Linked DNA regions of Tamandua tetradactyla. The protein of the gene in region 1 interacts with the protein of each later gene in a pairwise test. Links are inferred from orthologs where the notes say so. Each region holds a gene or a part of one and is shown in the gene's direction. Other genes may lie near its edges. The genes, in order: SDCBP, MEOX2 and TNFAIP8.

The links.
Region 2: the proteins of SDCBP (region 1) and MEOX2 interact in a two-hybrid assay, tested with the Homo sapiens proteins (2 studies listed by BioGRID and IntAct). The link is inferred for Tamandua tetradactyla from reciprocal best matches to the Homo sapiens genes SDCBP and MEOX2.
Region 3: the proteins of SDCBP (region 1) and TNFAIP8 interact in binary tests that used the Homo sapiens proteins (3 or more experiments, as listed by UniProt). The two-hybrid records come from large-scale screens. The link is inferred for Tamandua tetradactyla from reciprocal best matches to the Homo sapiens genes SDCBP and TNFAIP8.

The regions. Positions count from the first base shown.
Region 1 is NC_135332.1:101,847,804-101,851,624, forward strand, and holds the start of SDCBP (syntenin-1), read left to right. Parts: upstream 1-1,128; 5' UTR 1,129-1,262; intron 1,263-3,821. UniProt on the Homo sapiens protein: Multifunctional adapter protein involved in diverse array of functions including trafficking of transmembrane proteins, neuro and immunomodulation, exosome biogenesis, and tumorigenesis.
Region 2 is NC_135327.1:108,686,557-108,690,156, forward strand, and holds the start of MEOX2 (homeobox protein MOX-2), read left to right. Parts: upstream 1-1,395; 5' UTR 1,396-1,730; coding exon 1,731-2,244; intron 2,245-3,600. UniProt on the Homo sapiens protein: Mesodermal transcription factor that plays a key role in somitogenesis and somitogenesis and limb muscle differentiation. Required during limb development for normal appendicular muscle formation and for the normal regulation of myogenic genes.
Region 3 is NC_135347.1:9,095,639-9,099,459, reverse strand, and holds the start of TNFAIP8 (tumor necrosis factor alpha-induced protein 8), read left to right. Parts: upstream 1-1,087; 5' UTR 1,088-3,821. UniProt on the Homo sapiens protein: Acts as a negative mediator of apoptosis and may play a role in tumor progression.

The DNA.
Region 1 (3,821 bases):
CCAGATGTCCTCATGTCCAATCCATTCTCCTAGCAGTAGCCAGAGTAATCTTTGAAAAAGGCAAATTTAATCACATTATGTTTTCAGTAGCTTCAATTGCCTACTTCTCCAGTTTCATCTTAAACCATTCCCTCTCTTAGCTTTTTGTTCTGGCCCCAATACCTTTCACCTTCTGGAATGCACCAAGTTTCATTTAAACTCTTTGCCAGAGCTATTCCCTTGCCTGAAACACTTTTCCTCCCTTCGCTATTTGGCTAATTCTTACTCATCAGTTTAAAAGCCACATATTTAAGCCTCCCTTGAACTCCTAGACTAATTTTGGCTTCCGTGTAATATCTTTCCATAGTCTCCTGCACTTTTTCTTCAAGCACCCATTTCAACTGTTAGTATACATATTTTTAAATGTCTGTTTCATCAGCTAGATGGGAGGCTCCACGAAAACAAATTTTTCCTCTTATTTCCATTTGAGCTATTTTATCCTCAGACTTGTATTATTTTACCCCGGAAGACAATTCTGGCATTGAATAATTTAAATAGGCAAAAAAAAAAAAATCCTGTTTGTTAAAGGTATTATGTCACGTAGTCTATGGAATTCTCTGCTAAGTACGTTTATATACTCTTAGGTGACCTGGACCTCAGTTTCTTTGTCTGTAAAGTGGGGATGTCGTAGCTACCTTACAGATTAATGTAAGGTAAGGTACAAATAAGACCGTATACATCAAGTTCTTAGAGCTTCCAGGAGAGTTGCAAAAATCTCAAGGTGATAGTTGTATTAGGATCCGGCTATTGCTTTTGTGCCACACCAGACATGCCTTCAACAGCCAACCAACGTTCGCTCTGACATTGCCCAGAGTAATAAAAGAGAAAAAAGCAATAGAGAAACAGGACAGGAGTTGCGAAACGGCGTGGGAGGCAGCGCGGAGTTAGTGACACAGACCGCAGTGGGGAAGTCACAGGCTGGGGGAGGAGGCCCGGGACCTCGGGACTCTCTTTCTTTGAAGGCGACGTGAGGGGGGCGGGGACCCCAGCAGCGGGGCAGCTAGTGCCGCCCCCACCCCGCCCCCAATCCGGTTGCCCAGCGACCGGGTCAGCTGATGGCGGTGGCGCGCACGCGCGGACGGAAGGCGGGGGCGGCGCCGTGACGCTCCGGGCTGGCGGGTGGCTCCCCCGGCGCGCGTCGCTTTCCTGCCCTCAGGTTTCTAAGTCTTGCGAGGAGAGGGTGTCGGCGAGCGGTCCTGCGGTCCTGCGGTCCTGCGGCCCAGGTGAGCGGCTCGGGGCTCGGGGCGGTCCGGGCGCGGATACGAGAGGACTCCGGGTCCCTTGGAGAGAGCGTCCTGGGTCAGGGGCTTTCGGGGGGCGGCGGCGGCGCCCTCTGCTCTACGGGCCCTGCGCCCAGCCCGCGCCCTCCCCTCGCCTTGCCGGGCCCGGGGCGGAAGTTTGCGGCCGGGGCCCTCTGCCAGCAGGGTTCCTGCGGGTTGGGGTCCCGGTCCGGCTGGGCACAGCAGCTGGCTGTGGGACCCTCGGACCGCCCCTGGCGAGCCTTTTTGTTCCTCCGGGGTAAGATCACGGGAGAGCGGGTGCTTGCGGTCGGTCACGGGTTCCGCGTTCTCGGGGCTGTACTTAATTCCCCTCCTCGGCGGCTGGTCGGCGGGAGCGTCCCAGCTTTGCTAGGAGGAAGGAGGTGTTTGCTTAGTGGGCGAAGCCTCGACTTTCTGGAAGGGGGAGGGGGTGGGGTTGTACACTCCGCGCTTCTTTCTGGAGAAGTTGGAAATGGAGAAACATTTCCAGCAGGGTGTGTTCAGGAGGAAATATCCCTTGAGAGCTGGTGACTCAGAGCTTTCGTTTCAGGATTTCATTGGAATAGTGGGAAAGTGAAGGCACAGGGATGTGGAAAGTTTTTATTCGCATCCAGGTGGAATTACTGAACTGGGGAGTTTTCTAATGTACTGGTTTTTTGAAAGGAATTTTAGGTATATCTAGTCCGTATGGATTGTCTGCATGCACATTTTCTATCTTTGATTTGTTTATGTTTTGTATTATATAAGGACGTTACTTAGAAAGTGCCCTTGGTTTACCAGACTCCAACATTCACTTGATCCAAAGAGAAGACAGCTGATTAAAAAGAAACATTGCGTTGAGAATATGTTGCAGTTCTTGTTCATTTGATTTTCCTGAAATGTATATAAGTGATAGATTAAGACTCAAGTTTGCCTCATTCTTTCCTTTTTTAAATTTCAGGTTGAGGGCAAACAGTAAAAAAAAAAAAGTCTCAATTTCGTTACCGTCTTAGTTCTCTAAGCGTTTGAGCAGCAAATAGTGTATATATATATTATAGATCAAGTGATATGTGCCACAGAATAAAACTAAGGAAGTGGAATAACTAAGGAAGTAGTTACTCCATTGTAATCCAAATTAAACTTTTGCAGAAAAACTTTTTACGTATGTTTTGGACATTGTAAGAAAGGATATTAAAAGCCATGCCCCAAAGGGGAAAAATTTACTAATAGTTAAATATACTGTTTAGTAAAACAGTTCCCTAAAATGAGGGTGAATGACTTTTTCCCTGTCTTTGCTAAACTGAGGTACCTTTTTGGGCCAGTAAATGCCTAAATTTCCTAAAATGAAAACGACTGTCCCTAACAACCTTACAGTACTTTCTCATGTCTAGTAATAGTTATAGTAACATTTATTAATTTCTTTCCAAGTGCTGTTAACAGTTTTCGGTAACCTTATTTCATTTTTGGTAAGATAATACAGTCGTATGGGTCAAAATTTAGCAAGTAAAGAAGTCTTTAGTATGAAATTCACCCAGTCTATGCCTCCATTCAACTGTTTTCCCTTACTGTGGGCAACCAACTGTTAAAACATGTCTTAAGTATTCATTCAGGGGTATTTATACGTATACAAATATCACATAAATATTCTTTTCCCATCCTCTTATCTCAAATATAAGCTTACTGCTCTACATAGAACCTTTCGTTTTTTCGGGTACTGATGGTATTTTGGTGCTCTTTCAATGTCAGCACATAGAGAACTTCTCATTTGTTTCCATTGTTCTGCTGTTAAAATCAGTATGGCAGTGAGTAAACATCTATTTGTCACTTCCTACAGGCACAACTTTATTTGTAGCTTAACATGTAGAGGTATTGCTGGGTCAGAGAATATCTACATTTATAATTTTGGTAGATATTGCAGATTCATGAGGGTTGTATGAGTTTAGCCTCCCACTAGTATGGGAAGGGAGTGTTTCCCAAGGCTAAATTCCCAAGGCTAAATTCAAGAGTGTGTTGTCAAATTTTGGATTTTTGCCAGTCCAATCCAGTAGGTGAGAAATGGAATCTTATGGATAAGAAGAAATATTCTACAAAGAGTAGATTTCATATGGCCATATTTCTCAGTGGCTAATCATCAGAATTTCCCTGGATATCTTAAAAAATTGCTCTTTGAACATAATAGTCTCATGTACATTTCCTAAGATCAAGGCTATTCGCTTGTGATCACTGTAAGTACAGTTATATAAGTTCAAGAACTTTAACATTTATTAAGTTTCCAGTCTATGTTACATTTTTTTCACATGTCCCAGTAATGTTCTTTTGGGCCTTTTCTTCTCCATTATTAGAGCCAGTCCAGAATCATGTATTCATTTGTCATTGTCTCCTTAGTTCTTTTTTGAAAATTGTGGGAACAAAAATACAACATAAACTTTCCCATTTCAGCCACTTCCAAGCATACCATTTCACAGGTATTGTGCTACCCTCACCACCATCTAACTTTCTCATCATCCTGGACAGAAATCCTACACCCATTAACTCCTGCTCCTA
Region 2 (3,600 bases), on another chromosome or scaffold:
TGGGGACACCGCTAAAGGTTAATCAATACTTTTTCATAACTCAAACCAGATGGCTGGAGCAGTTTGCTGTCCCCATTAATTTCATTAACAGCTTCAAAGTTCTGGTCACCGCCCTCTGGACACCTGAGACAATGAAAATAACCCGGCGCCTTTGCTAGTGGCTCGCTCGAGGCCGCGGGCGAGATATGTGACCGCAGATGCTATCCTGATGCTACAAGTGTCAGGGGACCCGCACTTCAGGCAGCTCAAGACGCGCCGCTCGCTTGTCTTGTGCAAGACTCGGCCCCAGCACACCGGGTCGTCCCCTATGTAAGTGGCAGTATTAGAGGCAACACTTGGCCCTCTTTGGAAGGAAAATCGAGTCCAGCCCTCGCTCGCCGGTACTCACTGGTGGCAAGTTTTCTGGCATGCAAAATTATAACCAGTAAAACCTGATGCTCTTAAGTTTAGGGAAGGGGAAGTGGGGTTTTGGAACGCAATATTTCTCGATAAATGGATCCATAATGGGGGGGGGAGGGTAGGGAGGGGTGCGAGCAGCTGATTTATTTTGAGAGGATGAGAAGGTGGGTTGCAAGAGGGGAATTGGGCGGCTCAGGCTCCCGAGGGCAAAGGCTGGAAATGTGCACATAATCAAAACGTCTCAAGTGGCCGAGACGTGAGCGCTTCGGAATAATCCCGACCCGGGAAAAGTTTTTGGTGGACAAGTGGTTTAGGGAATTGAGCGGGTCCAGGACAGGGTGGAGGTGGGCGTTTGCGAGGAGCGGGGAGAAGGGAGGCCCCACCCGGCCTCGCAGGTGAGGAGGTCAGGACCTGTGTGTCTGCAATGTCTCGGGCCCACGCTTTCCTCCACCTTCCCCAGGCCTTCTCCTGCAGGCACCGAAGACAGCCTTTCGCGGCCGGGCGCACCTCTGCAACCTCGGCCCCGGCGTCGGAGCCCGTCGCCACCCAGCCGGCGGGACCAGATGCGATGGGGAGGGCGCGGTTGCGTCCGGGGCGCAGGGCACGAGAAATTTTGCAAACTCAAGTTTCAGAGTACGAGCCCAACTAGCGCTCACCTTTTCCCTCAACCCTATCGGCCTTTCCGTGTTCCTCAAAGGCTGGGCGCCCCACCCCCCTCCCCAGCTTTTCCTGCAGGTGACAGTTCCTACGTGACACTGAAAGAGAACTGGGCGAGTGGGGCACTGGGTGCTGGCCTGGAGCTGGCTGGCGTCACGCGCCTTTGCCGCCGGGAGCTTAGCGCAGAGCAGCCGAGCGTCGGGGCTGCGGCGGGGCGGCGGGTCTGAGCGCGCGGCGGGGGCCCAGCCCCGGGAGGAAGTGAGCTCCGAGCGCGCCGCGCTGACTGAGCGAGCGGTTTGGAGGGAGTTTGCTTGTGGTCAGCGCCGGGCTCCTGAGCCAGCCCCCAGCTCACATTACACTCTATTTATAACCTCCCAGAGCCGCTTCCCCCTGAAAGCGGTTCTCTGGGACCACCTTCTTTTGGCTGAACCTCTCCTCCTCTAGACCTCTGAGTGGTTCGAAGGGAAGCGCCCCCAGGTCCAAGCGTGTAAGCGTAGAGAAGGCTGGCCGCTAGGGCTCGGCGCCGGGGTTATCCACGCTCTGCAGAAGCGTGTGCTGCTATTGCTTTGGGAGGGGGGGAAAAAACCCCACTGTCTCCAGTGAAAACCGACAGAGGCTGGTGGAGTTCGGAACCTTCGCGAAGTCTTCCGCCTGGAAGCCGAGACGCGCATGCTATGGAACACCCGCTCTTCGGCTGCCTGCGCAGCCCTCACGCCGCGGCGCAAGGCTTGCACCCGTTCTCCCAGTCCTCACTCGCCCTTCATGGAAGATCTGACCACATGTCCTACCCCGAGCTCTCCACTTCTTCCTCCTCTTGCATAATCGCGGGATACCCCAACGAGGAGGGCATGTTCGCCAGCCAGCATCCCAGGGGCCACCACCACCACCATCACCACCACCACCACCACCACCAGCCTCAGCAGCACCAGGCTCTGCAGACCAGCTGGCACCTCCCGCAGATGTCCTCGCCCCCGAGCGCGGCTCGGCACAGCCTGTGCCTCCAGCCGGACTCCGGAGGCCCCCCGGAGCTGGGCAACAGCCCGCCAGTCCTGTGTTCCAATTCTCCCAGTTTGGGTTCCAACACCCCGACGGGTGCAACGTGCGCGCCGGGAGACTACGGCCGCCAGGCGCTGTCGCCTGCGGAGGCGGAGAAGAGAAGTGGCGGCAAGAGGAAGAGCGACAGCTCAGGTAAGCGCACCAGTTGTGAAGGGGGCGGGGAAACGCCACCAAAGATTTCTCTCAATTAAAGTGGAGCGGCCGAAAGATGCAACCTGTCTTTCCTTGGCGTCCCCGCCGCCGAATCCAGCCGGGCTGCTCTGGTTGTGTCAGCAGCAGGCGGGGAGGCAGGGGGCCAAAGGCACACGTTTCTCCCAGGACAGAACGTACGCAGACAGCCAGCTGCCCTGAGCTCTCTCAGGTTCCCAACTAGTTTACCAGAGGGTCGAGAAAAAAAGGACAAGTGTCTGTGTGAGAAATCGATTTGCGAACCGTGTCCTTCCTTCGGAGGGCTAGGGAAAGGGAGTGTCCCCGGGATGCAGCGTCTGCTGGAGACTGCGAGTGGGTGCCACCCTTTGACTTCTCCCTTGCAAGTTCCCCACTCAGAGTGGCTCGATTTTTCCCACCGTTAACTGGAGTTCCGAATTATTGCACAATATTTGGAACTTGCAATGGAACTTGGCAGAGCGCATGAGAAAAAAAAGTTCAAGGTTTTTTTTCCCCCTTAATTCTGATTTCAGAGTTCTTTAAATAGCACCCTATTCCAAATGGCAAAAATTTCCCCTTGCTTGGGAAGGAAAACAGTATAGGAATTAGAAGATTAAGGAATGTGCAGATATGTAAGTAAATAAATAGATGTTCAGACTCTGAAGGAAAGACAATAATAGTAGTTCATATTCATGTGGTGCGAATGTGAAGACGCGGAGTTTCGAAAGTGAAAAGAAATCCTCCCCAAATTGAGTGTTATCCAGGGCAGGCACTGGAGGCGAACAGCAGCTCGGTAGTGCTGGCTCCCTGCGGGCCCAGGGCTCCTGTGCGCAGATGGGCGCAGAAGGCGCTTTTCTGCGCGCGGGTGTTGAATAGCCACGCAAAGGAGCCTTCCTGAACTCGGATGCTGGAAGGTACAACTGCCAAGTTCATTGTAGCAATCCAGAAAAACGCCAAGTTCTCCTAAAAGCTCTTACCAATCTGTATCCTTCTGAAATCGAGTTTACAATAAAGGAGGTTCTAAGTTGTATTTCTGCAGCTGCCATGCAACTTGAGTTCCATCTTTTCCGAAGCTGTCATTTGTTTAATATAATACTTGCATATTTTTCTCCCTTTGTGGGATCGGTTTAATAGTCTTAGAAGGTAATCACAGCTAATGGTTTGAAGTGTTGCAAAATTTTAATTGGTTATAAAACTGTAGGTGCGACCCCCACACCCATGCCAATGAGTGAGCCCCGTACTTCACACTCTGCAGCGATGGGGTCGATTGTTCTGCTTTAGTATGGGATGTGTTCTTGGGTCATAATCTCAAAATCTGGCTTTTACTTTCCAAGGTCAGGG
Region 3 (3,821 bases), on another chromosome or scaffold:
ACCGAGTATGCTCTGTCAGTGTGAGTCCCCATCTTTCTCTAGGTGTCAACCATGCACTGCTCTGCCTAGGCGAGGCCTCCCTTGGGTGGGAGAGGGTGAGTCTGACGGTCCACGTCTCTGTGATAACATCTGGAAAGACTTCTGGAACCGTGCCACTCTTGGGCACTGAGGTTCCTGGAACAATGCCCGCTCAGCCTACCTTTCTCCCCGCTTGCTTTGCCAGGGACAAAGAGGAGTGAACTGAATCAAGGAGGGGGCTCTGGTTTGGGGTTTGGGGCCATGGTTTTAGGCAGGCCAGTGAGAAGCATGAGGTAGCTGGGATCTGGCAGTGGAGGGGGGTCTTGGGAGGACTGATGGAGAGAGGGAAGGGCTAAGCAAAAAGAAAACAAAATATTGTGCTCTAGGGACTAGGGAGCCTAATGGGAAAGCCAAAGCAGAAAGGCCAAGGTTTTTCGTAGATGTTTTCAGTTCCATCTGTGAGGCTATAGAATCAGAAGAAAGCAACAAGTGAAGGTATCGTTTTCATGCAGGCACAAATTTTATCACTCTTGTGGTGATTTTGTTGAATGTGCTGCTGATAAGGATGTGGGTGGCTGTAAAGGAAATGTTTTTCTCAGGGTAAGTAAAAAAGCAGTCGTCTAGGCTAGAAAGAGGGTGTGTGTTCTGGAGATTGCTCTGGGAGGGTCAAGGCCTCTCGTGGCTTCTCTTCTCAGCCCTGCCCTGTCTTGCAGGGCCATGTTGAATATTCTGCTTAACCTCATTTGCTTTGCCACTCTCTTTGGAAACTGGGATTGTCAGCCACTTTTCCTGGGTGTGGGGAGAGTGAAATGATTGCAGTGATAGTGCCCTACTCTGAGATGCCTGGATAATGTGTAGTACATGCATACAGAGGTGGGGAATCTGGTTGTCTAATAGCCACCATCCTCGTGGTTGCAGATAGATGGAGAAGAAGTGCTAGATAAGATGGAAACAGACTCCCCTAAGGATGGCTTCTTTAGTATCAGTGTGAAGCTCCAAAAGCTGGCATGAGTCAGTTGTACTCCAGGGGCTGGGGGTGGGGGTGGGAGGTGGGAATGCCGAGCAGCAGTGTGTTTTGGCTTCAGTGCTGTTTGCTCACCCAAGAAAGAGAGAAAGGACCACCTGGGTTCCTGAGCCCAGGTTGCTTCAACAACCCGGGTCTGGACAGATTCCTCAGCCACTAAGCTGTGGCCTGGGCATCTGGGGCTGGAAGGCACAGTTACCTCCTCTCTCCTCCCTGCCTCAGAATATGGGTGATGTCTCTCTGCATGGACTGATCATCACAATTGTTGGAGAGTTGAATCTACTGCAAGTGTCTTTTTTTTTTAATTTAATATTTTCATTGACACATCTTCAAACACATAGAGTCCATACATGGTGTACAATCAGTGGCTCACAGTATCATCATATAGTTGTATATCCATTACCATGATCATTTTTAGAGCATTTGCATCACTCCAGAAAAAGAAATAATAAGAAAAAAGAAAAAAATTCATACATCCCATACACCTCCCTCTCATTGACCACTAGTATTTCCATCTACCCAATTTACTTTATCCCTTATCCCCCCTATTGCTTATCTATCCATATTTTTTTTACTCACCTGTCATTACCCTGGATAAATGGAGCATCAGACACAAAATTTTCACAATCACATAGTCATATCATGAAAGTTCTATCTTTATGCAGTCATCCTCAAGAATCAAGGCTACTGGGACACAGCTCAACAGTTTCGGGTACTTCCCTCCAGCCACTCCAATATACCATAAACTAAAAAGGGATATCTATTAAATGCATAAGAATAACCTCCAGGGTAACCTCTCAGCTCTGTTTGAAATCTCTCAGCCACTGAAACTTTCATTTGTCTCATTTCTCTCTTTCCCCTTTTGGTCAAGAAAGCTTTTTCAATCCCACGATGCCAGGTCCCAGCTCATCCCAGGAACTCTGTACCACATTGCTAGGGAGATTTATACCCCTGGGAGTCATGTTCCACTTTGGGGAGAGCAGTGAATCCATCTGCCAAGTTGGCTTAGAGAGAGAGGCCACATCTGAGCAACAAAAGAGGTTCTCTGGGGGTAACTCTTAGGCATAATTATAAGTAGTCTTAGCGTCTTCTTTGCAGGAATAAGTTTTCATAGTGGCAAACAGAGATCAGGGATGTCTTAAGTGAGAATGAGATCCTGCAGATTTTTGGTCTGTCCACATGCTTTACTTTTTATTCCCCCATTGCTGGAGAACTCTCTCCAGAATCAGGGATGTCCTGCTGGGTGTGTAGGTGCCCAGCAATGAATACAGCTGTAGTGCTTGTAGCCTTCTCTGCCCTTAGCTGGGGTGCGCCCTTATCTCTGCGCCTTACCTTACTGCTTGCCTCTTGACTGGGTGGAGGGCTCTGCCACCCTGTCTGTGGGGTTTTTTTTTGGTGTGTGGGGCTGTCAGATTCTTCCTTCAGATTTCCCTTACTTACTCTGCTGCTCTGTCCTCTCCTAGTAGTAGCAGACAGTGGTTCCTGGTGGCTGCCTCGTCATTTAGCTATCACTGAGGCCACATTTTAGGGAAATGGGAGAAACTGCTTCTCTCTTTAGATGTACCATTTCTTTGTAACCTTGTAGCTTACCCTTGGAATTGCCGGTGATTCAGAGTTTGGGAAGTTCTTGTGATTTAGAATCCCGCACTTCCAGGAAGATTTTTTTCTTGACTTTTTTTTTTTTTTACCCTAAGTCCCTGATAATGTTGTCATAACATTAAGGGGCCAGCCAGAATTTGGAGCTATAACACAAAGGAACACAAAAGGAATGTCCTGCTCTGGCTTCTAAGGTAAAAAATTCAAACATCTATGGGTTAGTTACGTATTGAGGTGGGCTAGTGAAAATAAGAAATGTGTAGATATGTTTGTAAAAATGGTGTTGATCTGGTATCCTTTTCAGTCTCCTACCCAAATTAGCAGGAGGGACTTGATTTCCATTCCGGTCAACAATAATGCTTGTTACTGTTTGAGCCTTCACTGCACATCAGAAAATATGTTTTCTGCTTCACCTGGTCCTTATTCAGTCTTGATAGCAATTCTATGAGACTGGTGATGATATTCCTGTTTTTTACAGGAGAGCAAAACTGCTCAGAGAAGTTAGGCAACTTACAAGTCTACAGAACCAGAGAATGCCAGAGCTGGAATGTGAATCATGCCTAGAGGACCCCAGAGCACTTGTTCATTGTGTTCCACTTGGTTTCTTTTCTTTGTCCTCCCTGCATGCTGGGTAAGCTCAAGGCACAGTGTTCCTGCCACAGAGGATAAACATAAAAGCAAGATGCTTACCATGCAGTGGGAAGCGAGATATTTATTGAACCAAGATAATATAAGGACAACTGTGATAGGTTCCCAAAAAGTGCTACCGAGAAATGAGGTGCCTGGGGGGTTAAAATAATCGAAACCTAACTGGGGGCATCAGGAAAAGGCTTCATGGAGGTGGTGCCCTTGAAGTGGGCCTTACAGGATTGGCACTGTGCTCACAGATGGGTTTGGACAAGGGAAAGATATGTGGGTGATGAGGACTGTCAGATGCCCAGGAAAATAAATATATTTCTAGAGAGATTATTACACTGTAGATATGCACATATGTGCAGGTATGTATGTATGTACAGTATATGCTGTGCCCGTATACAGTCACAGTATTTTTATGAAAACTTTATGTTCTCTTCAAAAGCAAAGGCTAATCATTTTAAGTAGCAAAGTTATACGCTCTGAGAATAGGAACACCTCTAAGCAGTAGTCACTGTTTATAGAAATTCATGTTTATACTGGCCAGGTA